Sus scrofa: one gene and its partners. The protein of the gene in region 2 binds, or shares a complex with, the protein of the main gene of each other region. Links are inferred from orthologs where the notes say so. Each region holds a gene or a part of one and is shown on either strand. Other genes may lie near its edges. The genes, in order: METTL14, RBM15B and WTAP.

Region 1 (9,518 bases), on a different chromosome or scaffold from region 2:
TGTCTGTGTATATACACAATGGAGTACTACTCAGCCATAAAACAGAATGACATTTTGCCATTTGCGACAATACAGATGGACTTGGAGGGTATTACGCTTAGTGAATTAAGTCAAAGATAAATACTGTGTATTATCACTTATATGTGGAATCTAAAAAATAAAACAAATTAGTGAATATAACAAAAAAGAACGACTCACAGATAGAGAGAATAAAGTAGTGGTTACCATAGGGGAGAAGAAAGTAGGAGAGCCGTATGGGGTAGGGGATTAAGAGGTATAAACTTCTACACATATACTAAGCAACAAAAATATATTGTATAGCAGAGGGAATACAGCCAATATTTTATAATAACTATAATAGAGTATAATCTTTGTACCACTATTGGTACACCTAAAACTTATTTAATACTGTAAATCAACTATACCTCAATTTTTTAAAAAAAATTCTAAGATTGCAGTAACAATTGTATAAACCTGTAGATATATATTTTTTAAAAACTGAATTATATTCTTTAAGTGGGTGAATTGTATGGTACATGAATTATCTCAAACTGTTTTTAAAAATGCAGTCTATTGGCAGACTGGACACAGCTGAGGAAAGAATATGACCTTGATGATATTTCAATAGAAATCTCAAAAAGTGAAAAGTAAAAAAAAAAAAAAATTGGGGAAAAAAAGGCCAGAATATCCAAAGAATATGGGACACCACCTTACAAAAGGTGTAATATGTAATGAAAATATCCAGAAGGAGGAAAAACAGAAAGAGGAACAGAAGAAATATCTGAAACAATAATGACTGAGAATTTCCCCAAATTAATGTCAGACATCAAACCCCAGATTCAAGAAGCTCAGAAAGTACCACAGGATAAATGCCCCCAAACCAAACAAACAAAAGCCAACTATACATATACATATATGTATATGTAAATACACACACACATATATACATATGTATATGCACATACATATTTTTCAAACTACAGAAAATCAAAGACAAAGGAAAAATCCTGAAAGAAACCAGAAAGAAAAAAAAACTACCTATTGAGAACAAAGCTAAGAATTATATCCAAATTCCCAGAAACAAGCAAGAAGTGAAATAAAATATATAAAGTGTTCAAAGAAATAAAACACCAATCTAGAATTCTATATTTTATGAAATTAGTCTTTCAAAAGTAAAGGAGAAATAAAGACTTTCTCAAACAAAAATTGAGTGAACTTGCTGCCAACAGACCTGCCTTACAAGAAATGTTAAAGACAATTCTTTAGAGAAAAGGAAAATAACACAGGTCAGAAAATCAGATCTACATAAAGAAAGAAAGAGCATCAAAGTAGTAAGTGAAGGTAAAATAAAAATAAGGGATAGTCACAGAACCAAAATGAAGGAAAGAAGGAAAAAGGAAAGAAGGAAAAAAGTAACACAGCTTGATAGAAAAAGAGCGTGTACCAGAAGTATTAAGAGTGGAAAGGGGAAGCCAAGCCAGGAAACATCATTTTGTTAGAAATTAACCACAAAATGGATAATTACATGCATGTAATCATGAGCTAGCAACAGCATATTCCCAACGAATCTGACATACCTACATCCCTGATGAAATTCTGAGGTCTATGTCCAGTGTCTACAAAATGTTGGCAGTAATCATTATGGGGATTTAAACTCTGTGTTCCCTAAAGAAAAAGTCAAAATAATTAATGGTAGGTATGCTAACTCTGAACTTTATTTTTTATTATAAGGCCGAACAAAATATAAGTGATAGATTAAAAAAAAAGAAAACATCACCACTAAAATGGTAGTACTACTCTTATCTACAGACACTACTAAAGACAGTACTCTACTTTTAAAGCAAATAATAAAACACAATTTAGCAGTAGTTGCAATAGCCAAAAAAAGTCGCTAACATAGTGTTTATAGTGTGGTAAGCCCTATGTTAAAATGCTTTGCATCCATCAACTCATGTATTATACCTTATTTATCCCATGCTGTAATAAATACCTACTTGGTTTTATTCAAGCCAAGTCTGCATATAATGATTACAGGCACCAATACTACACTTTACTTACCTTAAGAAAAGTACTAGAATCTTTGTAAATTTCTTCTTCATATGGCAAATTCTCTTCCTCTTGTTGCATTTCTAATTCATCCTTGGAAAAGGAAGACAAAGTAGACATTTTATATATAAGAGGAATAGTTTATGTATTATGATATCTTGAATATTAAGACTCCTAAGTATTTTATTTCCCTGAGATACAATAAAATTTTCAAATTACTGTTAAAGTCAAACAGTGAAGGCTTTGATTTATCAACATCAGCTCTAACTAGTTATGTTTATAATAAAATAAAAATTTCCTTTTCATTCTCATCAATAATAAATGTCTTTATTTACCTCAGATATAATACCTTAAACATTAGAATTTAGCTCAAATCAGAAAAGATATGACCACTAATGAGGCAATTTTATTTCTATTAGATCAAACTATACAAAACTGCTATTTTTATATTTTAACAAAAAATGTTAAAATGTTAGGAACTGTATATCATTTGACCTAATCATAAATATTTAAGTTCTATGTTAGTATATATAAAAATGCAACCACCACACGATAGTATTTATTAAATTAGGTGTTATACCTAGAGATTTACTGAAACTATTCTCTTCTCTATTGAATACAACTGTACAACAATTAATTTGAAAAAATGGAGGTAGTTTTTTTGTCCTTGGCTTTCTTTTCAACTAAATATTGCAATTACAAATTTAGAAACTGGGGTTTTTCTTTGGGCCTCTGTCAGAAGTGGTTCTACAATGCCATCTAACCCATGAGGTCTCAAAATATTTTAGTTGTACTATCCTTTATCATTAGCATGGAATAATGCAACTTGAAAAAGCACTGTAGCATCTCGAAATTTGATTCAATTCTGCAAAGTTTCTGATACATCTCCCTTCTTATTTTTATTTTTATTTAAGAATGTTATTGCCTAGTGCTTATTAGGCATTATGCTAAGTACTTTATATACATTGCCGAATTTAACCCACAACCTCTTGTGTTAAAAATAAGAAAACTGATATAAAAGTCTGAATTTACTAATTACATATACTCAGTATTCTGTCAAAATTCAGCTTTTGATAAATTTGTTTTCCTGGGTTAAGAATATATGGATTTCAAACATTTATTTTTATCTTGACCATAAAATTGTTCCATTTTATACTTGCCTTGTATTCTTCTATTTTGTCTTCATCTGTCTCTCCTTCATCTTGATACTTACGTTTTGCATTTGGAGTAGAGGTATCATAAGAAGCCCTGAAAATTAAAACCTAAGTATCACACACAAATATATATAAGATGTATAAATATAGCTACAATAATATTAAGTAACAGGTTATGAAAACAGACAGGGCAAATTTTTCCTAACTAAACAGTATCTATTCACCCCTTTTATAAATCTTAAAAGTATCCAACCTGATTAATAATTCTATATTTTTATGAGAAAGCAATCAAATGAGAAAATAAGCTTTTATAACATGTATAGCAAAAAGAAACTTCTACATTATGTATCATTCCAATCTGTCTTGCAAAATTGATGTTCAAGTTGATAAACTACAATACTGAAAAATTATAAATGCTTTCTGAACTACCAAATGAATACTACCTTTAGGGTAAAATGTGTGTTTTATAATGATTTTTTAAAGTAAAATTATTTATGGTATATAAGCTAATTCTTAGTCTAACATTCTATTTTTAAACTACTTGTAAATGAGAATTATGCTTAGAAAATAAGTATTTCAGGAGTTCCTGTTGTGGCGCAGTGGTTAACAAATCCGACTGGGAACCATGAGGTTGCGGGTTCAATCCCTGCCCTTGCTCAGTGGGTTAACCATCTGGCGTTGCCGTGAGCTGTGGTGTAGGTCGCAGACGCGGCTCGGATCCCGTGTTGCTGTGGCTCTGGCGTAGGCTGGCAGCTACAGCTCCGATTCGACCCCTGGCCTGGGAACCTCCATATGCGGCAGGAGGGGCCCAAGAAATGGCAAAAAGACAAAAAAAAAAAAAAAAAAAAGGAAATATTTCATAATTTATGAACAATAAAATACAATATTTTCCAAATCTCCATGTTAATGCTTATCATAACAACATACTTCATACCTGGGATTACTGTTTATTAATATGTTCCTTTCGCAAATATTAATATGTCACTAACAACAAAAATTATCCACTGACCTGCAAGTTTCTCTTGTTTCAGCAATTTCTCTCTGCTCATCTTTGCTATTTAACACAGCACCAATGCTGTCAGCACTTTCGGCTCCCAACTGGGAAAAGGTAAAAACCAAAAATTAGATCACAATGCACTGAATAGCCTTTTCAGCCATTTGTAGCAGCATTTAATATACCAAGTATTAAAAGAAAATACCTGTAACTACCACAGCAGGCAAATGGACTAATCACCTTGCGGGAAAAACAGAAAATACCTTGGGAAAAAAACCATGTTAATTATGAATGATTTTGACAGCTGAAAAGTATTTTATGCTTTCAGTTACTTTGAAATTAAAACAACTCGAGCCGGTCCTCTACTTTTAAAGCAAATAATAAAACACAATTTAACAGGAGTTGCAATAGCCAAAAAAAGTAGCTAACATACAGGGTTTATAGTGTGGTAGGCACTATGCTAAATGCTTTGCATCTATCAGCTCATGTGCTGTACCTTATTTATCCCCATGATATAATAAATACCTATTCAGTTTTACTCAAGCCAATGCTGTATATAATGATTACAGGTGCCAATACTAATCTTTACAAATACCCAAAAAATAGTAATGCAAGTTCTGGTTGGCAGTTGAGGAAATTTTGCAAAATATAACCTTTCTAAACAAATTACTATTGAGATAAGCCTGGCTACATAGTGAGATCAATTCAGGGAAAACTTTAAAAACCAAACCAAGAAGGGTAGAATGCAATTTACAGATCATGAAGAACCATAATATATATAAGTACAAGAAGGGCATGAGGAAATCATCATTAAATAGCCCCTTAAACTCAAGAAAGATGAGAAGGCGTGCTACAATATTAAAGCTGCAAGTCCCCAGCCTTGATCTTAAACAATTACCACTGCCTCTTCAGACTACCCACTTCATGACTCCCCTAAGGATTCTCCAATGATAAATCTCTTCCAAGATATCAACTGTTCCTGCTATTTCAACTTTCCATAAAATATTCCCGATCACTCTTCTCTTTAGTCAGAAGACACATCTACTTCTCACAGGTAGAATGCTTTCTAACCTTCTTCCCACCTCTGACTCCATTCCCTTCAAATCTCAAAAGAAAACAAATTATTTCCTCAGGTGGTTCTTTCCTGAATACTGTATATAGAATAGGCAGCCTCCTTTCATTATTCTTTTCATCTCCTAATTTCCTCATTCAGATCAAAGCACTTAATACAAACTTTTAGCTTTACTTTTGTTTATTCTTTATTTATATTGAATCACAGTCTCTATCACAACTTTCAATTTTTTTATTGATACACTTCAATTACTTTATCAATTTACTTTTGTTTACTTCTCTCCCAAAGAAATGTTAGCTTACTGAGGAGAACTCTGTCCTATTGAAATCTCTAAGTTCAGCAGCTACTTATAATGTCTGACTTATAGCAGATGCTCAATAAATATGTGAATGAACAAATGAAATTTCCTACCAAGGCCTAAATTAGAATACAATGTTTTACAAGACGAATGCTTTTTTTTTTTTTTGCCTTTTTGCCTTTTCTAGGGCCGCTCCCTCGGTACATGGAGGTTCCCAGGCTAGGGGTCTAATTGGAGCTGTAGCTGCCAGCCTACGCCAGAGCTACAGCAACGCGGGATCCAAGCCACGTCTGCAACCTACACCAGAGCTCACGGCAACGCCGGATCCTTAACCCACTGAGCAAGGGCAGGGATCAAACCCACAACCTCATGGTTCTTGGTCAGACTCGATAACCACTGAGCCACAATGGGAACTCCAAGACGAATGCTTTAAATCAAATTCCGCTCACATATATAATTGTCTTCTCAAACTCCAAATTTTTTTTTAAAAACTGTAATAGAATAACTTAAATAACAGACTTTCCATTGTGGTAACCCTAAATAAATTATTTGAGTAATTACAACAATTTGGTATCATCTGAAAGCAAGTGCAATTTTCTGAAACAAAGCTACAAGTTCAGTAAAAAGCACATGTAAATTGCACATCATTTGCCACAGTCATGGTCTGGGCCTATACACTGCATCCAATATCTTCATCCAGCAGCCAAAAGCAAATCAGGGAAATTATACACATTGAGTTGTACTCTAACAGTTATTAATCAACAAAAATTTATTAAAAGCTTACTTTGGACAAGAAACAAAGTTAGGGTGGAAGATGAACACAACAGGAATTAAATGCACACAAACTGTATTGTGTATGATGGTTAGTTACACACAGTAGTGGACTCAACAGTAAGGACAATGGAAGCTGAGCGAGAAAAGAGCCTAAAACAGGGAGATCAGGATAGATTTCATCAAGTTTGGACCTGGAGTGTGCCACAGTGGATAGAAAGAAATCAGAAAGGAAGGACAATTACTAAAAATCAAGTATATATTGCACAAATCACATTCTGGAGAGTAATAAACCAGTCTGTCTTATTCATACAGAGAAAAGTAAGTGAAAAAGAGGCTGAAATTGGTAAAAGTGGAAGTCTGTCATTGACTACATTGAACATCCTTACCTAAGTGGAATGGTTCCTGTCCAACTACACCAGGAGGCAACTAGGTGTATTGCAAAGGGCATGCAAAGGCCTAAAACTGCATCCTGCAAACTTAAAAGCATTGTGGACTGCAGCATGTAACTAAATTCTTTGAGCTTTATTTTCTTCATCTATAAGGTGCAGACAGCACCTGACTTGTACGATCAAATATAAGTAAAAACTTGGCAGAGTCTTAACAATACAAGGGATTTAATAAATGGCTGCCATTATTAAATTCTGCACACCATGTAAGCTCTTCAAGGGTAAGACTACTTATTATTCATAGTTGAATTCCCAATGTCTACGAGAGCTTCTCGCATATAGTGAGACACTCAAATAACTGTTTATAAATGTATTTTGAATCAAATAGAGGTTTGAATTCAAAACTAAACAGTGGGGGTAATAGAACTACTGATCATTTTTGAAGATAACATGATAAAAAAAAAAAAAACTGGGAAAAGAAAGGCCTGGAAAAGATACCTGATATGTCCAAAATCACAACACCAAAAGGACAGGGACAGATCTGATTCCAAATACCCACTTTTTAAACACTGTACCATAAATCTTTTTAAGACATCATAAAAGAAAAGGTCTCAGATTTCCACTTACTAAAAACAAGATTTATTACTGAAAAAAAATAAGATGCCCTATTAAAGCCTATGAGCATTTCCCCCATCACTTTCACTGATCTGAATGATAGAATGGAAAACACAGCCTCAGACTTAAGTAGCAGTCTATACTTTAAGTAAATGCTAACTTATACACAGGGAGTATGAAGATAAGCTTTGGAGAGACAAACCTGAGTTCAATTTTCTGTCCTAGCGGTGAAAGACCCGGGTCAAAAATGACTTAACCTCTGAAGCTTCTGTTTCATTATCTGTTAAGTGATGATAATACTACCTATTTCAGACGTTTGTGGTGACTGATACAGAGTAAGAATTCAAACATTAGCTGTAGGTGTTGACGAGGTTACCGTACACAGCACAATCGACTGCAACACACAAGATACAGAATCTAAGATTTACACCCAGGCTACTTCCAATGCAATCTTCAGACATCATCCCAGAGAAGATACTGTAAATCTATTTCACAAGGAAGCCACAATCTTAAGAATTAAGCGCTGACTATGAAGAAAGGCAAACAACTGTTTAAGTAGTGAAGAGAAATTTAGGGGAAAACAAGTCACTTTTCATTGCTTGAACTGCGGTAACTTGCACACAAAAACCAAAGCTTTGTATCCCCATCACTGAGCACTGTGCCAGACACTGCGCGGGCCATCAAGTTTGCTGAAGACCACTCAAACGTGGCGTTCGGTTTAGCACCACCACAATGACCTCGCATGGAAAAGATTCGGGGCACCACGTGAGTTGAGAACAAGAGGCAGGCCCAGGGATTAAGGTCATGGGAGCAAAAGGGACTGCACCCCGGAAGGTAAGGAGACAGAAAACGGGGGTTACGGGTGGAGGCAAGAGAGCGGCCGCGCACGCGCATTCGCGACCCCTCCCAGGGCCGCGGACCTGCTGCGCGAGAAGCTGTCGCCGTAACTTCTGCCGTTCCCGGATCTCCTGCAAGCGGCTGTCCATGGCCCAACTCTTGTTTTCCACTACGTCGAAAATTTGGCAATGAGGAGATAAATTCCCCCACCAATCTTTCTTCCGAATGTGTGGAACACAAGATTCTCCAGCAGCTTCCAGCGGCGGGTACCCAATATTCTTTTCCTCAATAGGTATTTCCGGTGCGGTCCGAATTTGCTCCTCCAGACCGGAAGTCCCGCCTCTTCCTGGATGCCTGCGATTTGACGGCACCTACAAGGGAACCAATGAGGGTCCTGCAACACCAGCCCAGGAGAGGTTTCGGAAAGCTTTGCGGTTTGGTGGACGCAGCTGTCAAAAATGGAGTGGGCTGGTCTCCGGGCCTCTCATTTGAGCTTTCCTTTATGAGACTTAAGGCTCCCTTGGTGTGTTAGGAGTTGTGGGCCGCTTCGTTGATTCCTTTTGCCGTAAATTCCTCAGTTGCTAGTCCTAACGTTTTAAAAATTGCCGGGTAGAAGTTCCCATCGTGGCTCAGCAGAAAGGAATCTCACTAGCATCCATGAAGACGCAGGTTCCATCCCTGGCTCTGCTCAGTGGGTTAAGGGACTTGCGATGCGTTGAGCTGTGGTGTAGGTTGCAGTCTCGGCTAGGATGGCTTAGGCCGGCAGCTGTAGCTCTGACTCCACCCCTAACCTGGGAACCTCCATATGCCCCGGGTTTGGCCCTAAAAAGACAAAAATAAATAAAATAAAAATTACTGGATAGCATTGTCTTGCTGAAAGCACGAATTCGAGTCAAATTGCGGGGTTTGAACCCTGCACTAGCTGAGTGATTGGCTAGTCAATCAATTTCTTTGAGCCTCTATTTTTCTTATTTCTAAAATGGGCTTGAGGAGTGCCTACCTCACAGAGTTGCAAAGATTGAAAGAATAAACACAGCCAAACACATACTGCTATGGAAGTGTTTATTATTATTAAGATTTTTTTTTTTACGCTTACTTTCCCCTTCAGGCAGGGAACAACTACTTCCTCTGCCGGGGCTCTTCTTCACAACTTATTAGCCTTTGAGAAGTTTCCTATTTTATTTTTATTTTTTAATTTAATTTTTGTTTTTACAGCCGCACGTGCAGCTGATGGCTTACACCACAGCTGCGAGCAACAGAGGATCCAAGATGCATCTGTGTTGCAGCTTGAGGCAATGCCAGATCCTTAAACCACTGAGGGAAGCCAGGGAGCCAACCCTCA
Region 2 (9,961 bases):
GGAACCATGAGGTTTCGGGTTCAGTCCCTGGCCTCGCTCAGGTGGTTAAGGATCCGGCGTTGCCGTGAGCTGTGGTGTAGGTTGCAGACGCGGCTTGGATCCCTTGTTGCTGTGGCTCTGGTGTAGGCCAGCAGCTACAGCTCCGATTTGACCCCTAGCCTGGGAACCTCCATATGCCGTGGGAGCACCTATTAAAGGCAAAAAGACCAAAGAGGAAAAAAGAAAAAAAAAAAAAAAAAAAAAAAAGGCTGTTTCTCAACGGGCAAGCGCAAGATTATGGGTGCAAGGCATCTCTTTTGCTGAATAAGTCTCTGGTGGGAAAAACACTCTTGGACTTCGGAAAGGAGTCAGGGCCAAGAATAGTTGTCATTTTCGTAAAATTTAAACAGCACCAACAAGAATTCTCTGGTGGATCAATAGGTTAAGGATCTGGCATTGTCACTCTTGTGGCTTGGGTCGCTGCTGTGGCACAGGTTTATCACTGGCCTGTAAAGTTCTCCGAGTGCAGGCATAGCCAAAATAAAAAGTGACTAAACAGCACCAGCACACTTGATTGTGAACTCATTGTCCAAGGGCTGTGTTTGCCCCTTGCCCCCTTGGGTCAAGGATTACTGGTCTTCTGAGAGTGATCCTGGTTCAGTGCTGATGGCTTGCAAGTGGCCATGGGGAGTAAGCTAACTCAAGGGCCTGACCAGGGTCTGTGCTGGGACATTGGAGCTAGGGGATCTATCTGTGCTGTCACCCTGGAGCTCTCATTCTACAGTGATGTGAGCTCTACTATTTAAAAGGCACTTCGAGTGGAAGTCTCATTCCTCTTGTAAAGTTCCTCTTGTCAGGACCATGTGGCCTCTGTCCCTGGTCAACACTGCATGTTTGTGGTAGACATTGCCACCGTGAGACCCACTTTCCTAGTGAAGTGGGGGCAGTGGGCACTGACACACACACCTGCATGTGTTGGCAAGTGTCTCTCCCCATGGGACAAGTAGGGCCACTTGTTTGATGGGATGTTTTCACTGCAGAGGACTATTAGAGTCCATAGTTGCTCCCACCCAGCTGGTTATTCTCCTTGCTCTCTCCTCTAGACAAGCAGATCGACCTGAGCACAGTGGACCTGAAGAAGCTCCGAGTTAAAGAGCTAAAGAAGATCCTAGACGACTGGGGGGAGACGTGCAAAGGCTGTGCAGAAAAGTCTGACTACATCCGGAAGATTAATGAACTGATGCCAAAATATGCCCCCAAGGCAGCCAGTTCACGGACTGATTTGTAGTCTGCCGAATCCCTGCTGCACCTGAGGGGAAAAACAGTTCATCTGTGTCTTCCCCAAACAGCCTTTTTGTAATTTATTTTTTAGGTGGGCTCCTGACAAAGTCAGGTGTGAAGCCTGGAGGAGCTTTCCTGATGATGCTGAGTCTACAGCGCCCCCTTGGAGGGGATTCACTTTGTTCTGTTGCGGGTTTACACTAGGACTTCCAAGTGTGTCTGGAATTTTTTTATTAAAGGAAGAAAATTTCTAGCTGTCCTTGAAGAATTAAAGAGAATACTGAAATAGGGTTTTACCCATAGTGAAGATTTCACCGGTTTGTGCTTTCCAGTTTACAAAGAGTTTTCAGATGCATTCACATTAGTCCTTCAACCATCAGTTAGATACGAGGGTGGGACAGGGGATTGAGGCATGTGGGGTTGTGCAGGACTGGAGGGAGTGCTGGGGAAGAGGTTCAGCTTGATACCCCACCCGGCAGGGACTGTCCTCTTGAGAGGAGCTGATATCTGGGCTCAGCTGAGGGATGTTGAGTGTGGTTTTCTGTGATGATGATTTCAAAAACTGTATGTTCAGCACCATCGCATTTCTAAAGATGCTCATCGCCTGGCTACCTCTACCAGTCACCGGCCAGATGTGGCCATCTACTTGTTCATCTGAGTTTGGTCTAGTGTCAGTCCCATTTGGGATTTTGCAAGTCTGGCAGAGTTGGACTGTACAAAGAGCCAATGAGAGGCTGCTTTTTACCTTTGTTTACCCAAGATAAGCATAACACTTAGGGGTCCTGAGAGTTTGTCCCAGAGTGTCCCCAAGATGGGCTTTTTAGTTGCTCCCTTTGAGGATGGTGCTTAGGAAACCCAGTTGTCAATGTGAGCCTTGACTCACCTCTGAGACCCCTGTTCTCGCACCTCAGGACCACCTGGAGGAAAGGCCTAAGAAGCAGTGCTTTCCAAGGAATTGCCCTGGCCTGGGGTCACAATTGTGCAATTTCTAAATTCAGTTTGCCTACATGAAGTGCCTCTCAGCCTGCTGTGGCATCCACTGATGCTTGTCAACAGCAGGACTGCATTTTCCGCCCTTGCAGCAACATGTCTGAGGAAAGCAAAAAGTTTGAGCCATTTCTCAGGCCAGGTCTTCCAGATTTAGACGAAGTAGATGAGCTGTTAAATCTAACAAGCATAGAGCATCCTGAGGCCCTGAAAGGTGCCAAGGAAGGTCCATGGCTGGAGCCAGAACTCCTACGAGGTGGAGCTGTCTCAGCACCCTAGGTCTGTGTTCCATATCCTCCAGACCACACCAAACGGAAAACAGGCCAATTAACTGCTACCCTCGGGCTGAGCTACAAGTGTCTCTGTCTAGGAAGGGGTTAACTCCTGGAAGCAGATTTCAGAAATGTTACAGGTGTTTCTTCGGAAACATTAACTCTTGGACCTGCCTCAGTTGCTCCGGGAGTTGCTTTCTCTGTGGGAGGAGGGAAGAACCGTGGTGCGTTTTGCTCACTCCATAGTTTCTGTGGCTGAAGTTGGGTCAGGTTCTGCGAACCCTCCAGCAACCCTGCAGAATGAACGCTTCCCCAAGGGGCTTGGATGCTGAGCAGGATTCTCCCTCCCCTCTCCTCGGGAACATATTCCCAGTCATCTCGCCATCTTGGAAGTGGATAGGAGGACGCTGGCCAGTGAAAGGTAAGCATGGCAAGCTGGGTAAGCCCTGGGTTTATTCTCCGCCATTGTTTCCGTGGCCCTGCCCTTACAGCTCTCTTTCTGCTCGAACGCTCAGGGCAGAGGGTGGGGCCCCATGGCACCAAGGAGCCTGGTGCCACTCGGGAAACCGCCGGCATGTCTCAGCTTTCCGTGCCTAGGGCTTCTGCATGCGTGGCCATGCTCCTCATATGGCCTTTCAGAGGCCTGCTGTAGGTGTGCCTGAACGCAGGGGATGCTCAAGATATGGGGCGTGGGTCCTAGGGGGCGGCATGCTTTGGTCCTCAGGGTTGTCCATCCCGGACGACGGTCAGGAGACTCGGGCGAGGTATGGGAGTCACGCAAACCTAGTCTTGGAATTGGGAATATCACGTAAAGAGGCCGCTACTCCCGCTTCCATCCGGCTACCCTGGCCGCCCAGCCCGGAGCCAGAGGCCTAGGTGCAGCAGTGCTCTCGACACGACTATGATTTCCATAGAACTCCGGCCACGCGGTGGCGCCAGAGCTCACTGCCTAGACAAGCTCGCTGGCTTGCAACGGGGATCACGTGGCACGGGGCGGCGCATCCCAATGACGCACACCCGGCGCAGCTCTTGCCCCGCCCGCCTCAGAGTCACGTGGTGCGGGCGGCGCAGCCAGATAACGCGACACCCGGCCCCTGGGCGCCGCTCCCGCCCCGCCCCGCCGCCACCGCCGCGCCGAGTCCTTTTGTCCAAGATGGCGGCGCCGGGGGCGCTGCCTCCTCGGCCGCCGCCGCCGCCGCCGCCGCTGTGAGAGGCCCGCGGGCCGCCCGCCCGCCCGCCGCGCCGGCGCCATGAAGAGGCAGAGCGAGCGAGACTCGAGCCCAGGCGGGCGCGGCTCGTCATCATCGGCCAAGCGACCGCGGGAGCGCGAACGGGAGGCAGAGGCGGGCGGGCGGCGGGCGGCGCACAAGGCCTCGGGCGGCACCAAGCACCCCGTTCCAACGCGGGCCCGCGAGAAACCCCGCGGTAGCGGGGGCGGCGGGGGTGGGCATCGCGACGGCCGCGGCGCCGGGGACGCGAATCATCGTGCGAGCAGCGGCCGCGCCTCGGGTTCGGGCGCCGGCGGCGGGGGACGCGGCGGCAAGGCCTCGGGGGATCCGGGCGCTTCAGGCGCTTCGCCCCGCGCGTCTCCGCTGCCGCCACCTCCCCCGCCGCCCGGGTCCGAGCCCGCGGGTCCCGGCTCTTCCGCGGCCGCACCCGAGTATAAGACGCTGCTCATCAGCAGCTTGAGTCCCGCGCTGCCCGCCGAGCATCTCGAGGACCGGCTCTTCCACCAGTTCAAGCGCTTCGGCGAGATCAGCCTGCGCTTGTCGCACACGCCTGAGCTGGGCCGCGTGGCCTACGTGAACTTCCGGCACCCACAGGACGCACGCGAGGCCCGACAGCACGCCCTGGCCCGCCAGCTGCTGCTCTACGACCGTCCGCTCAAGGTGGAACCCGTGTACCTGCGCGGCGGCGGCGGCGGCGGCGGGAGCAGCCGAAGAAGCAGCAGCAGTAGCGCCGCCGCCTCCACACCGCCCCCGGGGCCGCCCGCGCCGGCCGATCCACTCGGCTACCTCCCGCTGCACGGCGGCTACCAGTACAAGCAGCGTTCGCTGTCACCGGTTGCTGCCCCGCCACTGCGAGAGCCCCGCGCCCGCCACGCCGCCGCAGCCTTTGCCCTGGATGCTGCCGCCGCCGCCGCCGTAGGACTATCCCGGGAGCGGGCCCTGGACTACTACGGGTTGTATGACGACCGCGGACGCCCCTACGGCTACCCGGCCGTGTGCGAGGAGGACCTGATGCCTGAGGACGACCAGCGGGCCACGCGAAACCTCTTCATCGGTAACCTGGACCACAGCGTGTCAGAGGTGGAGCTGAGACGGGCTTTCGAAAAGTATGGCATCATTGAGGAGGTGGTCATCAAGAGACCCGCCCGTGGTCAGGGCGGTGCGTATGCCTTTCTCAAGTTCCAGAACCTGGATATGGCCCATAGAGCTAAGGTGGCCATGTCAGGTCGGGTGATCGGCCGCAACCCCATTAAGATAGGCTACGGCAAGGCGAACCCCACTACTCGCCTCTGGGTGGGTGGCCTGGGACCCAACACCTCACTGGCGGCTCTGGCCCGGGAGTTTGACCGCTTTGGGAGCATACGGACCATTGATCACGTCAAAGGAGATAGCTTTGCTTACATCCAGTACGAGAGCTTGGACGCAGCGCAGGCCGCCTGTGCTAAAATGAGGGGCTTTCCCTTGGGTGGTCCAGACCGCAGGCTGCGGGTGGATTTTGCCAAAGCAGAGGAGACTCGGTATCCCCAGCAGTACCAGCCCTCACCCCTCCCTGTGCATTACGAACTTCTCCCTGATGGATATACCCGTCATCGAAACCTGGATGCCGACCTGCGGGTGCGGGATAGGACCCCCCCACACCTCCTGTACTCGGACCGAGACCGGACCTTCTTGGAAGGGGACTGGACCAGCCCCAGTAAAAGTTCTGACCGCCGGAACAGCCTGGAAGGGTACAGCCGCTCAGTGCGCAGCCGGAGTGGCGAACGCTGGGGAGGAGATGGTGACCGGGGCCTGCCCAAGCCCTGGGAGGAGAGGCGGAAACGGAGAAGCCTTTCCAGTGATCGAGGGAGGACCACCCACTCCCCTTATGAGGAACGGAGCAGGACCAAGGGTGGTGGGCAGCAGGCTGACCGAGGCTCTGACCGTACCCCTGAGCGCAGCCGCAAGGAAAATCACTCCAGTGAAGGGACCAAGGAATTGAGCGGCAACTCCCTCAGCAACAGCAGACATGGGGCTGAGGAGCGGAGCCACCACCACCACCATGAGGCTCCAGACTCTTCCCACGGGAAGAAGACACGAGAGAGCGAGCGCAATCATCGGACCACTGAGGCTGAAACCAAGCCTCTGGAAGAGCCAAAACATGAGACCAAAAAGCTCAAGAATCTTTCAGAGTATGCCCAGACACTGCAGCTGGGTTGGAATGGGCTTCTAGTGTTGAAAAACAGCTGCTTCCCGACATCTATGCACATCCTAGAGGGGGACCAGGGGGTTATCAGCGGTCTCCTCAAAGACCACACTTCTGGGAGTAAGCTGACCCAGCTGAAGATTGCCCAGCGCCTTCGACTGGACCAGCCCAAGCTCGATGAGGTCACACGACGCATCAAGCAGGGGAGCCCCAATGGCTACGCAGTGCTCCTAGCCACCCAGGCGACCCCCAGTGGGCCTGGCACTGAGGGGATGCCCACAGTGGAGCCAGGCCTACAGAGGCGGCTTCTCAGGAACCTGGTCTCCTACTTGAAACAGAAGCAGGCTGCAGGGGTGATCAGCCTGCCAGTAGGTGGGTCCAAAGGCAGAGACAGCACAGGCATGCTCTATGCCTTCCCGCCTTGCGACTTTTCACAGCAGTACCTCCAGTCAGCACTGAGGACATTGGGCAAGCTAGAAGAAGAACACATGGTGATAGTTATAGTAAGAGACACAGCCTAGCCCAAACCTGTCTTTTCCACTCATTTGTGTCACAAAAGCAGTTATTTTAAAATCTGATCCCCCTCCCTTTTTCCCATCTTACCCCTTGGTTTGAATTCTCTGCTGGGTTATTTCAGTTGGTTTGGTAGGGGACCAAAGTCCTGTCCTCCGCCAGAACTAAGTTCTTAGGTTTGGGGGTTTTTTCCTTTTTTTACAGTGATGAGAAGGGACTCCTGTCATGTTGGTTTCTAGTGTATGAAATACTGTCTGCTGTGTTCTGTATTATTTTTTGACTAACTGTATGGAAAGTTGTCAGTAAATACTTTGTCAGAGGATGGATTTTTAATTCTGCTCAGAATCCTGGTTTAATCACAGGGTTTTGTTTTGTTTTGTTTTGTTTTTCCCCCCAAAGAATGGAAAACTTCCCTGCTCCATGCACACAAAGGCCCTTCATCATCTTTGCACCAATGGTGTATCTCAGTCCTCCTGCATTGGTGGCTCTCAGCTCCTCAGCTCTTTGGGCGCTGGACTACATCTGCATTTGTTTTTTATCTTGGCTGAGAGCAGATGGGTTTCATTTTGTACCCAGTCCATGCCGACCAGCGCAGAGCTCATGCACGGGAAGGGTTTGAGTCTGAAGGGTAGCCTGCGGCTGTGGTAGTTTTTAGCTTTTGTTTCCCTGTCCTAAACAATGTGTGTGTATCCATCAGTTTGAGCTGTAGCTACAAAGCACCCATCTTTAGGCCTTTTTGAAAGCAGGTAGTCTTTAGCAGTTGCGTGGTCTTGTCATGGGAGGAGCAGTGCAATATTAATGCCAAGGGGTCTTGGGTGCCATGGATCTGCGCCACCTCCTTCTCTTGTTCAGCCTCCCTTCTAGCCTTAATGCAGCAGCCCGGGGATACCCAATTGGAGACAGCTGCCTCGGACTCCCAGGCACATTGGAAGCCACTTGCTGGAATGGAGAGTAGGCGGCAGCTTTCATGGGTTAATTCTTGAACTTTTCCTGGTGTTTGTGAATTCTGGTTTTTCCTTCAGCTGTTTGGGGCTGATGTGTCAATGGACTGGGCTTCTGCGCAGTCACTGGAGCTTTGTGAGAACACTGAATTGCTGGCCTGAAGAGTTTTTGAGGGAGTCCTGTGGGCTATAGGAAGATGCTCTTGTTAACTGTCGTAACTTTGCCAGGTTCAAGGTGGGAACGCATGCCTTGGCCTCTTGCCCTGATACTGAGGAGGTGGGGACCCCTGGAAGATAGGTGCTTCTGTGGGGAAGTGTCACAGTTGCCGAGGTGTTGGGCAGTGCCAGAGCTCAAAGCCATTCAGGCTGAGCTGGGGAGGAATGTGGAGGCATCCTCAAGCTGGGAGGGAGAAATGGTTTCAGAGAAGTCTCACGTTCTTTGGCCACTTGTCTCTGCTGAGGGTATGACCAGCATTGGCCGATAAAGCCAGCAGTGTCAGGGACCAGAGAGGGAAATCAGTCACACAACAATTGTCACAAGAGAACATAGCTCAAACACCATTTTCCAGAATGTTTGTGGCAGTTGAGATGTTCCAAAAGATGTTCCAACTTGTTCACAGTCAAGGTTGAAGGAGAGCAGGAGCTCCAGTAAAGGAAATGAGTCCCAAGTGACCAGGAGCTCTGGGTTCTGTTGGTCCTGCCGTCCTCTCTGGGTCTGGTCCACCACCCTGGCTGGCACGAGGCAGCACGGGTGACAGCTGGGATGTTTTGAGAGTTTGTAAGGTAGAGGCAGGGCCTCAGTGTGCATTCATGGAGGATATGTACCTTTCCACAGGACAATGAAAGAGGTGACTTTTCCAGACCTTAATAATTGAAGCAGGAAAAGGAAGGGGCCTGGGAAGTACTCCTTGGGCTTCAGCTGATGCTCATGAGAGAACAAGCATGTTCCTAACAGAACATTTAACACAGGGAAGTGTTAGATGTGCTTGTCTGTTTGTACTTGAGCTTTGGTCACCACTGCCAGGTATCTGAGCAAAGCAGTGCAGGGCACAGGCCGCAGCTGCACCATTCCAGGCATTGGCACCACCAGAAGCAGGAGTGGGCCTCATCTTGTGTAGAGCAGATGAGGCAGAGGTGAAGGCACACTACCAAATGTCTGGGTCACTGGCCAGAGCTGCCAAGCTCTGTTTAAGCCCCAAACTTTTCTGGGCTCTTCCTTTATAGAGTGGGTGCTTGGGCCCCAGAGTACTATGCCTCCCAGCCTGTCTAGACAGAAACCTGCTGGGTAACCTGGTTGGAGAAGACACTTAAACCCTTGCTTTATTCACCGTTCTTCAGGGATAGGTGCTCTCCAGCCCCAGAATGAATGACTGTTTTGGCGAAGAACCACACCCCGCTGTCTGACCATCCTCCTCTTCCCTGGACCCTCTTCTCAACTCCTTTCTTCTGCTCTTAAGACACAGCAGATTCTGTAACAGTCTCTCAGAACGGCCTTGGCCAGCACCAGCAAGGGTAGGTCGCGTGGTCAAGGCCCTGGCTGGGTGATGGTGCTGCTGCCCCCGAGAGAGAATGATGTGGCTGCAGGCATCCAGTGCCGCCTCCGGGGGTTCAGGTCCTAGCTGAGATGTGGCTTAAAGGCAAAATTTGTCCCACTGGTGGTTTGCTACTGTTCTACATGTTTCTTCCTCAGTGACTCAGATTCTGAGCCCTGGCAGAGTAAGAAAGGGCTGATGTTTCCGTAACCTCTTCGGGCACTTCCCTAAGGGTGTGTTGTCAAGTCAACCAGGATTCTGCTTCCTATTAGAGGTCCCCATCTCCACCTGAGAGACCTGCAGTGCTCCCAGGAGCAGCTGGCAGAGTTCAGGGAGACAGTGGCTTGCTTGAGTTAATAATTAGAATACAATGCTTTTAGTACTGCTTGACTTTAACCTGTTTTCTTCTAGTGTATCAGCAGTCAGATATTCCACGGGTTAGGTGTTAGCAACGTGTTTAAGCTGAGGCATGAAGCAATGTAAGAGCTGAGACCTCTGCTCTCTAGAGGACCAAGAGGTGCCTGTGTGACACGGGCCTACTTCATGTGTGTGATGACCTGTATGGTGCTCCGAAGCCCAGCAGGGCTTTACCGGCCCCTGGTGAGTTTTAGCTGTCTTGTCTTGCTTGTTTACTTCACATTTGTCCACTTTTCTCAGTAAAGGGGGAAAAGTCTCTTAAGCTATAAATAACTCTAGGATAGAAACCCTGTGAACCCAAAGGAAGAGAGAGCCTAGGGGTCTCCTAGAAGGGGGCGGAGTGGGGCGGGGTGAGTGAAAAGGTAAGAGCACCCGGTACTTTTCCTGTTGGTAGCACAGTTTAATCACAGGCCAGTTTTAGAGGCCTGTGAAAGACCTGCAAACCCAGCCTGACCAAGCTCCAGATGCCCCTAAACCACCAAAACTGAAGAACTGCCTGGGTCTACTGTTGTACTCCCTTAAAAAAGGTCACGAGAGTCACCCAACTATGGGGATGGCCAAAATGCTTTCACTCCTTAGCTTTGCCAGCTCACTACTCCAAAACGTCCCAGGACCCCTAACTCTCCAG
Region 3 (10,280 bases), on a different chromosome or scaffold from region 2:
CTCAACTCTTCCCATGACCTGACATTTTATTTTATTTTGCTTTTTAGGGCCACACCCACAGGATATGGAAGTTCCCAGGCTAGGGGTTGACTTGGAGCTGCAGTTGCTGGCCTACACCACAGGCTATGGCAACATCAGATCCTTAACCCACTGAGCCAGGCCAGGGGTTGAATCTGCATCCTCATGGATACTAGCTGGGTTCGTTACCGTTGCGCCACAACAGGAACTCCAACCTGACATTTTATATACCTAGCTGTTCTTCCCAGTTATAAGCTCCATGAAAGAATCAGTCACTGCTGCTGCCACAGTACATATAGTAGGCATTAAAATACACCATAGGAGTTCCCGTCGTGGCACAGTGGTTAATCCGACTAGGAACCATGAGGTCTCGGGTTCGCTCCCTGCCCTTGCTCAGTGGGTTAACGATCCGGTGTTGCCGTGAGCTGTGCAGACAAGCAGCTCGGATCCTGTGTTGCTGTGGCTCTGGCGTAGGTCAGTGGCTACAGCTCCGATTCGACCCCTAGCCTGGGAACCTCCATAAGCCGCAGGAGCAGCCCAAAGAAATAGCAAAAAGACCAAAAAAAAAAACAAACACCGTAAATGCAAAGTATGACAAATGAATTTGTTTCGGTTACTATTCAAACCGTAAAAGTGAGGAGTACCCCATGTGGCACAGGGGAAATGAGACTAGTATCCACAAAAAACAAACAACAAAACCCACAAAACCTCTTGAGTATCATAGATAATATTTAATATAAACTCATTTTAAAAACTAGTACATGTTTCTACAACCTGACACCTCCCCCCAGGTTTATTTGTTCATTCTTTTCTTAATATATACTTATACAGATTCTTAAAAGAGTATTAAAATAAACCTAATTGCAACTTTAATTAGCAGTAAATCAGCTAAACTGTTTTTAAAGGGTATTTGAAGGACTGGGAAACACATAAAGAAGTTCAAATAACCCTGCTTTTCTAGAAGGTGGCAAACTGTGAAAACAAAAAAAGCAGGAGAACCTCTGAGCCTCAGTTTCCCCATTTTAAAAAGGATTACCACCAGCATAGCTCCAAATTATTGTGCTATTTTTGAAAATAAATATTAGCCTTTTGGCATAGTGACTGACACAAAGTAAGCATTTTATTATTAGTTTCCCTCTTCCCATTAGGGAATAAAGAAAAAAACCACCATAAAAAATAAGGATGCTCAATCATACTTCATAAAGAATCTGAAGAGAGAATTCACAAATTGAGGATAAGAATCTTAACATGTTCCTGTTTTTGTTTCTAAGCCCCACTGCAGAATTCTTGGTGACCCCCCCCCCAATTTTCAGAATTCTTAACAGCAGGTTATTTACATTTTTAGCCATAGCTTACTCTCTTTTGAAAAGTTTGATGCTGGGTAGACTTCAATTACACATTGCTTAGAGGATATCTAGATTTTCTTCATAAAAACAAACATCTAAATGTGTAATGTTAAGTCGGGGTAAATACGAGTTTCGTATATATATTTGCATTTCATATGTTGGCTCTCAATCACATGTCATTCCACCTTATGGAATATGTAACTTAGGAAATCAAAGCATAAGCATTTAGAAAAAATTCCCTCATCTTTAGCTGATGAAAAGTCAATCTTTGCTTGAGATTCCATGACGTGCCACAGTAGTGAAATGGACAGTGCGGCAAAAGGCAAATTAGAACAGCCTTAAAATTTGAAAACACCAACATTCAAACTATTTATTCAAAATAGAACCTGATCCTCAATTCTGCCTTTGACACTGCACATGTGCTATGCAATTTATTACTTTTCAAGGCCATTTTAAAAAAGCACAATTGACAAGCACAATAACCACTTAAAGTCAATTCTAGATTCATAAAGAGCATGTATATTGCAGGTTCTTAGAACAGTCTAGTCTCATATCAGAAAAACAGAGTAACTGAATTATCATTTGGAGTTGAACCTTAAATCTTGAAGGGAAAAAAATGAATATATACCTACTGCTATGAGTCACTTATTTAATAACCATAACTTTTCAAAGTTAGTCCCCATTTTCCAGATGATGAAGAGTTATGAGTCAGATTAAAACAACTATTAATCTAAAATAGGGAGTTAGGACCCCAAACTCAGTGCCTCTTAAAAGCTGGTAATGATGAAGATGGACCATTCTCCCACCCCTCCATCCTCAACAATGATTAAGCTTAGCTAGCTAAAGTAGAGAACGGAAAAAAGCAAGAGAAAAAAAATAAAAACCGGCAAATCTGGCTACCTTTTAGCAAGCTTAAGAAGACTGGTTAAAATACTATTTTATGTTGTATGTAAAAGTTTGTTATCCACGTCAAGAACTCAGAAATAATATAGTTCTCGTGTTTAGAATGTCAGAATCTACTCTTGATGCTTTACACTGACAGACAGCTTTGGCTGGAGAACTCAGTTTTGGCTGGCTAGGTGTCTAGCATCCCAGATTCCAGTACTTCCCTGGCTCTTGGTGTCGTAAGTTCTCCCTTAACAGAGCATCACGCACTAGCCCACACAACTTCAGTAAGAAAGCATGTACCTCGCTGAAACTAATCATAATCCAACTTAAGGAACTAATCTGACACTGTAAAGTCTACTAGTGAGGAACTGGAAGACCAGCTTGTCTTGACTATGTAGCAGCAAGCCACTACTTGGACTGCAGTCTCCCAATCAGCAAGAAGAGGATACCAATTTTCCCTGCTTTGCAAAGTGCCGCACATCTCAATGCTTCAAGTGCCATAAAGATGCCATACAAACAAAAAAAATTCAAATTTAAATACTAACATTAACATAAAAGAGAACTTTAATGTGCTTTTAGGAAAGATTAAATTCCACCAACTATATTTCAAGACTTGAGAACATTTACTTATAGCACTGGTTCTAACCTGATGCACCACCTTTATATCCAATGAGATACACTGTTATAAGAATCGAAGTTTTGCTCTGACAAGCTTGGCAGAAAATATTTAGAGGCAGAAGAGTGAGTGATAATAAAAAACAAGAATAAACCAAATGAACACTATCTAGGTCTTGTTTTGCCAAAGGATCCCACAAATTTTTAGGAGCAAGGAACATTTTTTTCAGAAGTGAGATAATGTACAATTATATGAAAATGATCAACAAGACATCTAAAAAAATGTTGTCTAGGGTATTCCAGTCTACATATATACACACAAAACTGTAAGGGACCCTGAAAACTAATAACTTCATAATTATTAGCTTTCAGAGCTAATAACTTCTAATAACTTGTATTACTGCAACTGTCATCTCCACGTCATAACGCTGCCATGGGTTTTCTACACTATACTAACTCATTTCTGGCAAATACACAAAATTCAACCAGAAATCTAGATATTATTAAGTTTCATAGATGAGCTAAGTAAAAAACAGCAGTGCCTGGGACACACTTATTATTACTTTTGTCCTTCTGGACTTCGAAATTGCCTGAGTTCCACCACTGAGAAGTGAAAATACTGATCACTTAACTACAGCCATCTGCTTAAAATAATGCAAGATTTGAAAGAACTCAAGGAATACAGCCACCCAAACCCTTAAAATCGAACCCCATCTTTATCACAAGTCCCAATTTCTTTAAATTTTTTTTGTTTTTGTCAAATTTTTTGTCTTTTAGTCTAAAATTTTTATTATAGTTAATTTACAATGTTCTGTCAACTTGTATTGTTCAGCAAAGGGACCCAGTTATTTATATATATATATACATACACACACACTTTTTCTCACATTGCCCTGCATTGGGTTCCACTACAAGTGATTAGATACAGCTCCCTGTGTATACAGCAAGATCTTTCCCAATTTCTAATGCTCGTGATTTCTTTTCCCAACTTGCCTAATCGGACGCTACTGAATGACAGGTGTAAATAAATAAAATGCAGGCATCTTGCAATTTTTTAACAGAGCTTTAAATACCTCTATGTTTATGTCACAGAAACCTTAACAGTCAAAATTTTAAAATAAAAAACTCAGTGGATAATCACTTCCACTGTACGCCTGACACTCATGTAACATTGTAAATCAACAATTCAAGTTTTCTTTAAAAGTGCAAAAAACCCGCTTAGAACTTGGGGTGAAAGACCTGTGACTTCCACTTTTCTTCTTCAGCAATGGAATTAATTAAATTCTGAGATGGAAAACGAGAGGAGCAACTCAGGACTGTAACATACCCATGGAAGTATTTTTCTATCTCGGGCAAAAGAACAGTTTCCTACTTCACAATCAGGGTTCCTTAGGATTTTCACATAGTCCTTTGGGATCAAACAGCCAAGTGACTTCATCAAAACAAGAACCTGGACTTTCCCACTGAGGTGTTCCCCACTGACTAGAGAAACAGGGTTCTAAGAAATTAAAAACAGCTTTATAGGAATCCAAGACGAGAGTTTAAAATGCTATGAAGATCTCGGGCTCAAAAGAGCATGTATTTTAAAAACCACGATGCGTGCAATCATTTGAAAATGGAAGTCCACAAGAAAACGCAGCGGCGGTAATACCCCACTGCGCGACGTGAAATTCGGTCAACGAACGCTGCTTTCCCTCCCCTGCTGAGCTCGTGGGTGCCGCCAGACCGCGGGATCCGCTCGAAAGGAGGTGGGCGCCGGCGGCACCGAGGCGGGGACGGGACGCGCGCCGAGGGGGCGGCCTCCCGGTGCCGCCGGCCCGCGGGAGCGCCCACCTCGCCCTCGGGCCCGGAGACGGAGAGCGAAGGTAAAATGGCCTCGGGGCGGCGGAAGTGTGCCCGCAGCAGGAAGGCGGCGCGGCTAACGGGAGGCTGGCGGGCCCGGGGACCCCGAGTCGCCCTCCGTGCCCTGTCCGCCCCTTTGCCGGGCCAGGCGGCCGCGCCTCAGCCCCGGGGACCCTGAGGTCCTCGCCGCCGCTCTGGCCGGGGCCCGGCCCGCACCTACCTCTCCGGACGGAGGCCGCGCGGGCGCCGCCCAGTCACATAGGCCGACCGCGCGCCGCCGCTCGCTGCCCGGGCCGCCCGACCGCGCTGCCGCCGGCCCCCGCGCGCCTCCTCCCGCCGCAGCCCTGGCGCTCCCCTTTATTTGCGGGTCTCGCTGCCACAAAATGGCGCTGAGGGAGGAAGCGAGGCCCCGTCGCCCCACCCCCTTCCCCGCTCCTCCCGCCGCGCCGCCCCGCCCCGCGCCGCCGCCGCCGCCGGCGCCCGCCCTTCTCCATCCCGCCATGTTCGCGCTCGGCCCGCTCACCGACGAGTCACCTCCCGGACGCGGACGCAGCGACCCGCCCGCCAGGCCCCGCCGCGGAGAGGAAAGACGAATGGAAGGCGCCCGCTGGGGGCCTCGAGGCGCTCGGGGAGGAGCTGCGCCTAGTGGCACGGCCCGCGGCCGCCCCAGCGCTTCCAGCTCGGCGGGGGCGGGGAGGGAAGCGGGCCGCGGGGAGGGGTGAGCCGCGAGGTCGCAGGTCAGCCGCGGGGCATCACGGGAAGGCCGGCGGGGGTCGCGCTCGGTGGCGCTGGTTGGACGCGCTCGCTGGGCCACCTGCGGCTGCAGCGCGGCCTCTGGCGGAGGAATCTGGGCGAAGGCGGCGCGTGATTGGCCGCGTCTTGGTGCAGCTCCCAGCCGTGGTGCTTCCGCGTGCTGGCGGCCAGGTGCGACCTCGGCAGCGGGCCGTGGGCTGGGCGGCTGGGCAGTGTGGACTCCGCGAGGCCTCACTAGGTTTTGAGAATTTAGAAACCGGGGCTCCCTCTTTCTTCGGGAAGGACGGCCTCTTGGACGCTTGGTTTGTCCCCGCCTTGACATCTCGAGGCGCAACCGGGGAGCTATTGTTGTCTAGCGGAGAGGTTGTGCGTATGTCAGCAGCCCTAGGGGCACCTTGGTCATCCAGAAACAAGGGACCGGAGAACCTTGGAAGGTTTTTGAACCTAGTAATGTAAGTTTTAAAATTTGAATATATTCAGGTAATTCTTTTAATTTGGCTGGTATTATCTAGCCTTACCCAAACCATTTATCCTCAGGACGTGTGCTGGAATGAGATAATCTATAAGGATAGTATTAAAGTGTGTTCAAAGACCAAAATCCGAAGAGAAAAATGGGCAAGGCATGAATAGACATTTCACACCAAAGAACAGCAATGATCCTTAAATATGAACGGTTGTTTGTCCTCGCGCGTAATGGAAATGCACATTGGAATTCTACGAATAAACCGTGCTCATTAACCTTCTGGTAGGAATTGGAAAGTGATTCAAGCCCTATGGAGTACCAAGATTATATATGCACTTATTCACATGTCTTGCAAATTCCACCTCTAACCCTAACCTGATTCTGAAAATACATCCTCACATACAGAAATAACATGTAGGCAAGGTTTCTTGTTGCACTGTCCTCACAGAAGTTTAGAAATCGGAGTTCCTGTTGTGGCTCAGCGGTTAACAAACCCAACTAACATCCATGGGTTCGATCCCTGGCCTCCCTCAGTGGGTTATGGATCTGGCGTTGCTGTGGCTGTGGTGTAGGCCGGCAGCTACAGCTCTGATTTGACCCCTACCCTGGGAACCTCCGCATGCTGCGGGTGCAGACCTAGAAAGACCAAAAAAAAGAGAAAAAGAAATAACCCATATGTCCGTTAGTAGGGAACTGGCTATACATGATCCATCCCTACCATGGGGTATGGGATACAGTACAACCATAAAGTATGAGGATAATATTTATGTGTTGCTATGAAATGCATCCCAACCTATATGGAAAATTGGAAGCATATCTTAGAAACAGTAAAAATGGTCATTCATCTAGGAGTTCCTGCTGTGGTGAAACTGGCAAAGGTTGGGGGGGGCATCATGGGAGCATCGTGTGGCAGGTTTGGTCCCTGGCCCCTCACAGTGGGTTAAAGTTCCAGTGTTGCCGAAGTTGCAGCAGCTCAGGAACTCCATATGCTGTGGGGTGGCCAAAAGTGGAAAAGAAAGAAAGAAAGAAAAATAAGTGGTTATCTGCGGAAGTTCCCATGTGGCTCCGCAGGTTAAATGTCCGGTGTCGTCACTGCGGTGGCTCAGGTTGCTGCTGTGGCATGGGTTTGATCTCTGGCCCCTGAATTTTGCATGCTGTGGGGACGGGACAAAAGGGGGTTACATATAGAGGGTGGTGGAGGAGAAAGAAAAGCAACACTTTTTCTGAATTTGAACTTTTAAAGTTTTATATAGCAGAGAAAGTAAATTTAAAAGGAAGCAAAAGTTGATAGCAAATTAAGCTTAACTCTGAGTCACATTGGTAGCGTAACTGTGTTGTTACACAGAGAAAAGGATTATTTCCCCAGGACTTTTGGACAGGGTACTCTAAGAGAATTATCTGGTGGGATATAGTCTAAGGATGAGAAAGAAGTGCAAAGGAATCTTTAGCTTCACTCTGTTTTATAATTAATGGTAGTAGTATTGTTGCTGTGGCTTTGAAACTATGTGTATTGTAGGATAATGCAAATAATTTAATTTTATTTTCTTTTTATGGTTGCCCCCAGTGACATATGGACATTCCTGGGCTAGAGCCTGAATCAGAGCTGCAGCTGCCAGCTGATGCCACCACATCAGATTTGCTGTTGCCACACTTGTGACCTTCACCACAGCCTCTGGCCATGCCAGATCCTTAACCCACTGAGCGAGGCCAGAGATTGAACCCGAATCCTCATGGATACTAGTTGGGTTCTTAACCTGCTGAGCCACAATGGGAACTCCTTAGTGTTTTAAAGTACAAGACTTTCAGTGTAAGAGAAATGAGGTATAAATAGAAAATCAAGGAAGTTCAGGAAAAAAATCCGTCATACCTTTGAATTGGATATATCAATTTGCGCACACGATTTTAAAAGTAAATGTCCTAGGTCTGTGCCCCATAAGGGCCTAGAAGCACTAGGATGGTGACCACTTGTCCCAATTTGCCAGGGACTGAGGATTTCCACAGATGCTATTGTGTTAAAACTGAAAGTGGGAGTTCCCATCGTGGCTCAGTGGTTAACGAACCTGACTAGTATCCTTGAGGACGCGGGTTCAATCCCTGGCTCTGCTCAGTGGGTTAAGGATCTGGCATTGCTGTAAGCTGTGGTGTAGGTTGAAGACTCGGCTGTGGTGTTGACCGGCAGCTACAGCTCCGATTTGACCCCTAGCCTTGGAACCTGCATATGCTGCAGGTGTGGCCCTAAAAAGACCTAAGACAAAAAAAACAAAACACAAAACTCGGAAGTGTTCCAGACAAACCGGGATGGCTGGTCACCTTGACAGTAACAGTGGCAGTACACCTGGCGTCCAGCTCATGACTCCTAAGTTCCATTCTCACAAAATAGAGCCAGAGCTCCTCAGAGAAGTGTCTAGTTCCAGTTCTGGGTCAGGGAAAGCACAGGGTGAAATAGACGTTTTGTTGTGCCTGGGTGCAAAGGAAGTGCTTAGGCTGATGCAGATATGTCAGCAGGACTCGGGAGAGCAGGCAAGACTAATCTTCAGGGAGAGAAGTCAAATCCGTGCTTGGCTCTGAGTGCAGAAGAGCAGGAATCAGTTGGAAAGGAACCTGGGGAACTTTGGGGGGGAGGTTGATGAAAATATTCCACATTATGGGAGTTCCCGTTGTGCCTCAGCAGAAACGAATCTGACTAGTATCCACAAGGATGGAGGTTCGATCCCTGGCTTCGCTCAGTGGGTTAAGGATTTGGCGGTGCCTTGAGCTATGGTGTAGGTTGCAGATCTGGCATTGTTGTGGCTGTGGTGTAGGCCGGTAGCTCCGATTTGACCCCTTGTCTGGGAACCTCCATATGCCGCAGCCCTCAAAAGCAAAAAAAGAAAGAAAATATCCCACGTTATGATTAGAGTGATGGTTACCCAGTAGATACATTTGTCAATATTCATCCCAAAAAGAAAAATGAGTTATTTTGTGGTGCAGTGGATTAAGGATCCGTATTGTCACTGTAGTGGCCTGGGTTGCTGCTGTGGCGAAGGTTCCATCCCTGGCCCAGGAACTTCCACGTGCATAGCAAGGCCAGAAAAAAAAAAATCCAGGAGTACCACTAAAATGAGTGAGCTTAATGTGAATTATTCCTCATGTATGTGATACCTTTATTGTATATGTCATTAATTTTATCCTCATGTGTATGTAAATTATACCTCAATAACGTGATAAAGATGATTTCCTGTGAACATCTGCTATAGCACAGGCGTCCTCACCATCGCTTGCATTTGGGTGACTCGAAGGCAGACAGGAGTGGGAAGGCTTCATAGTGAGATGAAAGGCTTCACGTGTGCCCGCCCTGTTGGAGGCTGTTGGCACAGAGAAGCTGGAGGCAGCTGACTAGAAGCAGGCCAGAGTTCCCTTTGTGGCACAGCAGAAATGAATCCGACTAGGAACCATGAGGTTGGGGGTTCAGTCCCTGGCCTCGTTTCAGTGGGTTAAGGATCCGGCGTTGCCATGAGCTGTGGTGTAGGTCACAGATGAGGCTCGGATCTGGCGTTGCTGTGGCTCTGGTGTAGGCCGGCAGCTACAGTTCCGATTTAACCCCTAGCCTGGGACCTTCCATATGTCATGGGTGCAGCCCTAAAAAGCAAAAAAAAGCCCCTAGAAGCAGGGCATCCAGTGTGATTGGTTAGGGGTTGGTTTTCTCTGGTAGGTTCTCAGTTTCAAGTGGGGACAAAAATTAGAGAAGCTGTCAGTTTTTAATCAAGTCCGGGCCATTTTGAGCTCATTGTTGTAGGTTATTTTTTCTCTTCCTGCATTGTTCCTTGTGACAACTATCTGAATTCCTGTGAGTTTGACTTACAGCAGGCTGTTTCAGGGCTTAGTTATCAGAGATAAAAGAATTGGTTTCCTGGGCAGGTTGCTGTAGGTTGTGGGTGAGAATTCTTTTTTTTTTTTTTTTTTTTTTTGTCTTTTGTTCTTTTTAGGGCCAAATGTGTGGCATATAGAGGGTCCCAGGCTAGGGGTCTAATTGGAGCTACAGCTGCCGGCCTACACCACAGCCACCGCAATGTCAGATCAGAGTGGTGTCTGGGACCTACACCACAGCTCACGGCAACGCCCGATCCCCAACCCACTGAGCAAGGCCAGGGATCGAACCTGCAACTTCATGGTTCCTAGTTGGATTCGTTTCCACTGCACCACAACGGGAACTCCAGCATTCTATTTTTATATGTGATCTGGCCTGTCTATTTGTATATTCAGTCTTCAGAAGCAGAGGGGTTTTTTTTGGGTTTTTTTTTTTTTCCCCTTTTTTTGGCCATGACCAGGGCATGTGGAAGTTCCTGGGTCAGGGATTGAACTACAGCAGGACCACT

The links.
Region 1: RBM15B (region 2) and METTL14 share a complex: the UniProt entries of both Homo sapiens proteins name them as parts of the WMM complex. The link is inferred for Sus scrofa from reciprocal best matches to the Homo sapiens genes RBM15B and METTL14.
Region 3: RBM15B (region 2) and WTAP share a complex: the UniProt entries of both Homo sapiens proteins name them as parts of the WMM complex. The link is inferred for Sus scrofa from reciprocal best matches to the Homo sapiens genes RBM15B and WTAP.

Annotation. Positions count from the first base shown.
Region 1 is NC_010450.4:105,045,098-105,054,615, forward strand, and holds the start of METTL14 (N6-adenosine-methyltransferase subunit METTL14), read right to left. Parts: upstream 8,507-9,518; 5' UTR 8,326-8,506; coding exon 8,260-8,325; intron 4,299-8,259; coding exon 4,210-4,298; intron 3,295-4,209; coding exon 3,207-3,294; intron 2,140-3,206; coding exon 2,059-2,139; intron 1,666-2,058; coding exon 1,578-1,665; intron 1-1,577. UniProt on the Homo sapiens protein: The METTL3-METTL14 heterodimer forms a N6-methyltransferase complex that methylates adenosine residues at the N(6) position of some mRNAs and regulates the circadian clock, differentiation of embryonic stem cells and cortical neurogenesis.
Region 2 is NC_010455.5:33,660,703-33,670,663, forward strand, and holds the start of RBM15B (putative RNA-binding protein 15B), read left to right. Parts: upstream 1-3,684; 5' UTR 3,685-3,769; coding exon 3,770-6,451; 3' UTR 6,452-9,961. Other genes in the region: MANF (mesencephalic astrocyte-derived neurotrophic factor precursor), read left to right, coding at 1,083-1,267. UniProt on the Homo sapiens protein: RNA-binding protein that acts as a key regulator of N6-methyladenosine (m6A) methylation of RNAs, thereby regulating different processes, such as alternative splicing of mRNAs and X chromosome inactivation mediated by Xist RNA.
Region 3 is NC_010443.5:7,646,178-7,656,457, forward strand, and holds the start of WTAP (pre-mRNA-splicing regulator WTAP), read right to left. Parts: upstream 5,096-10,280; 5' UTR 5,031-5,095; coding exon of another isoform or gene 4,858-5,030; intron 4,758-4,857; coding exon of another isoform or gene 4,592-4,757; intron 4,467-4,591; coding exon of another isoform or gene 4,463-4,466; intron 1-4,462. Other genes in the region: uncharacterized protein LOC102157641, read left to right, coding at 4,463-4,466, 4,592-4,757, 4,858-5,030, 5,104-5,914. UniProt on the Homo sapiens protein: Associated component of the WMM complex, a complex that mediates N6-methyladenosine (m6A) methylation of RNAs, a modification that plays a role in the efficiency of mRNA splicing and RNA processing.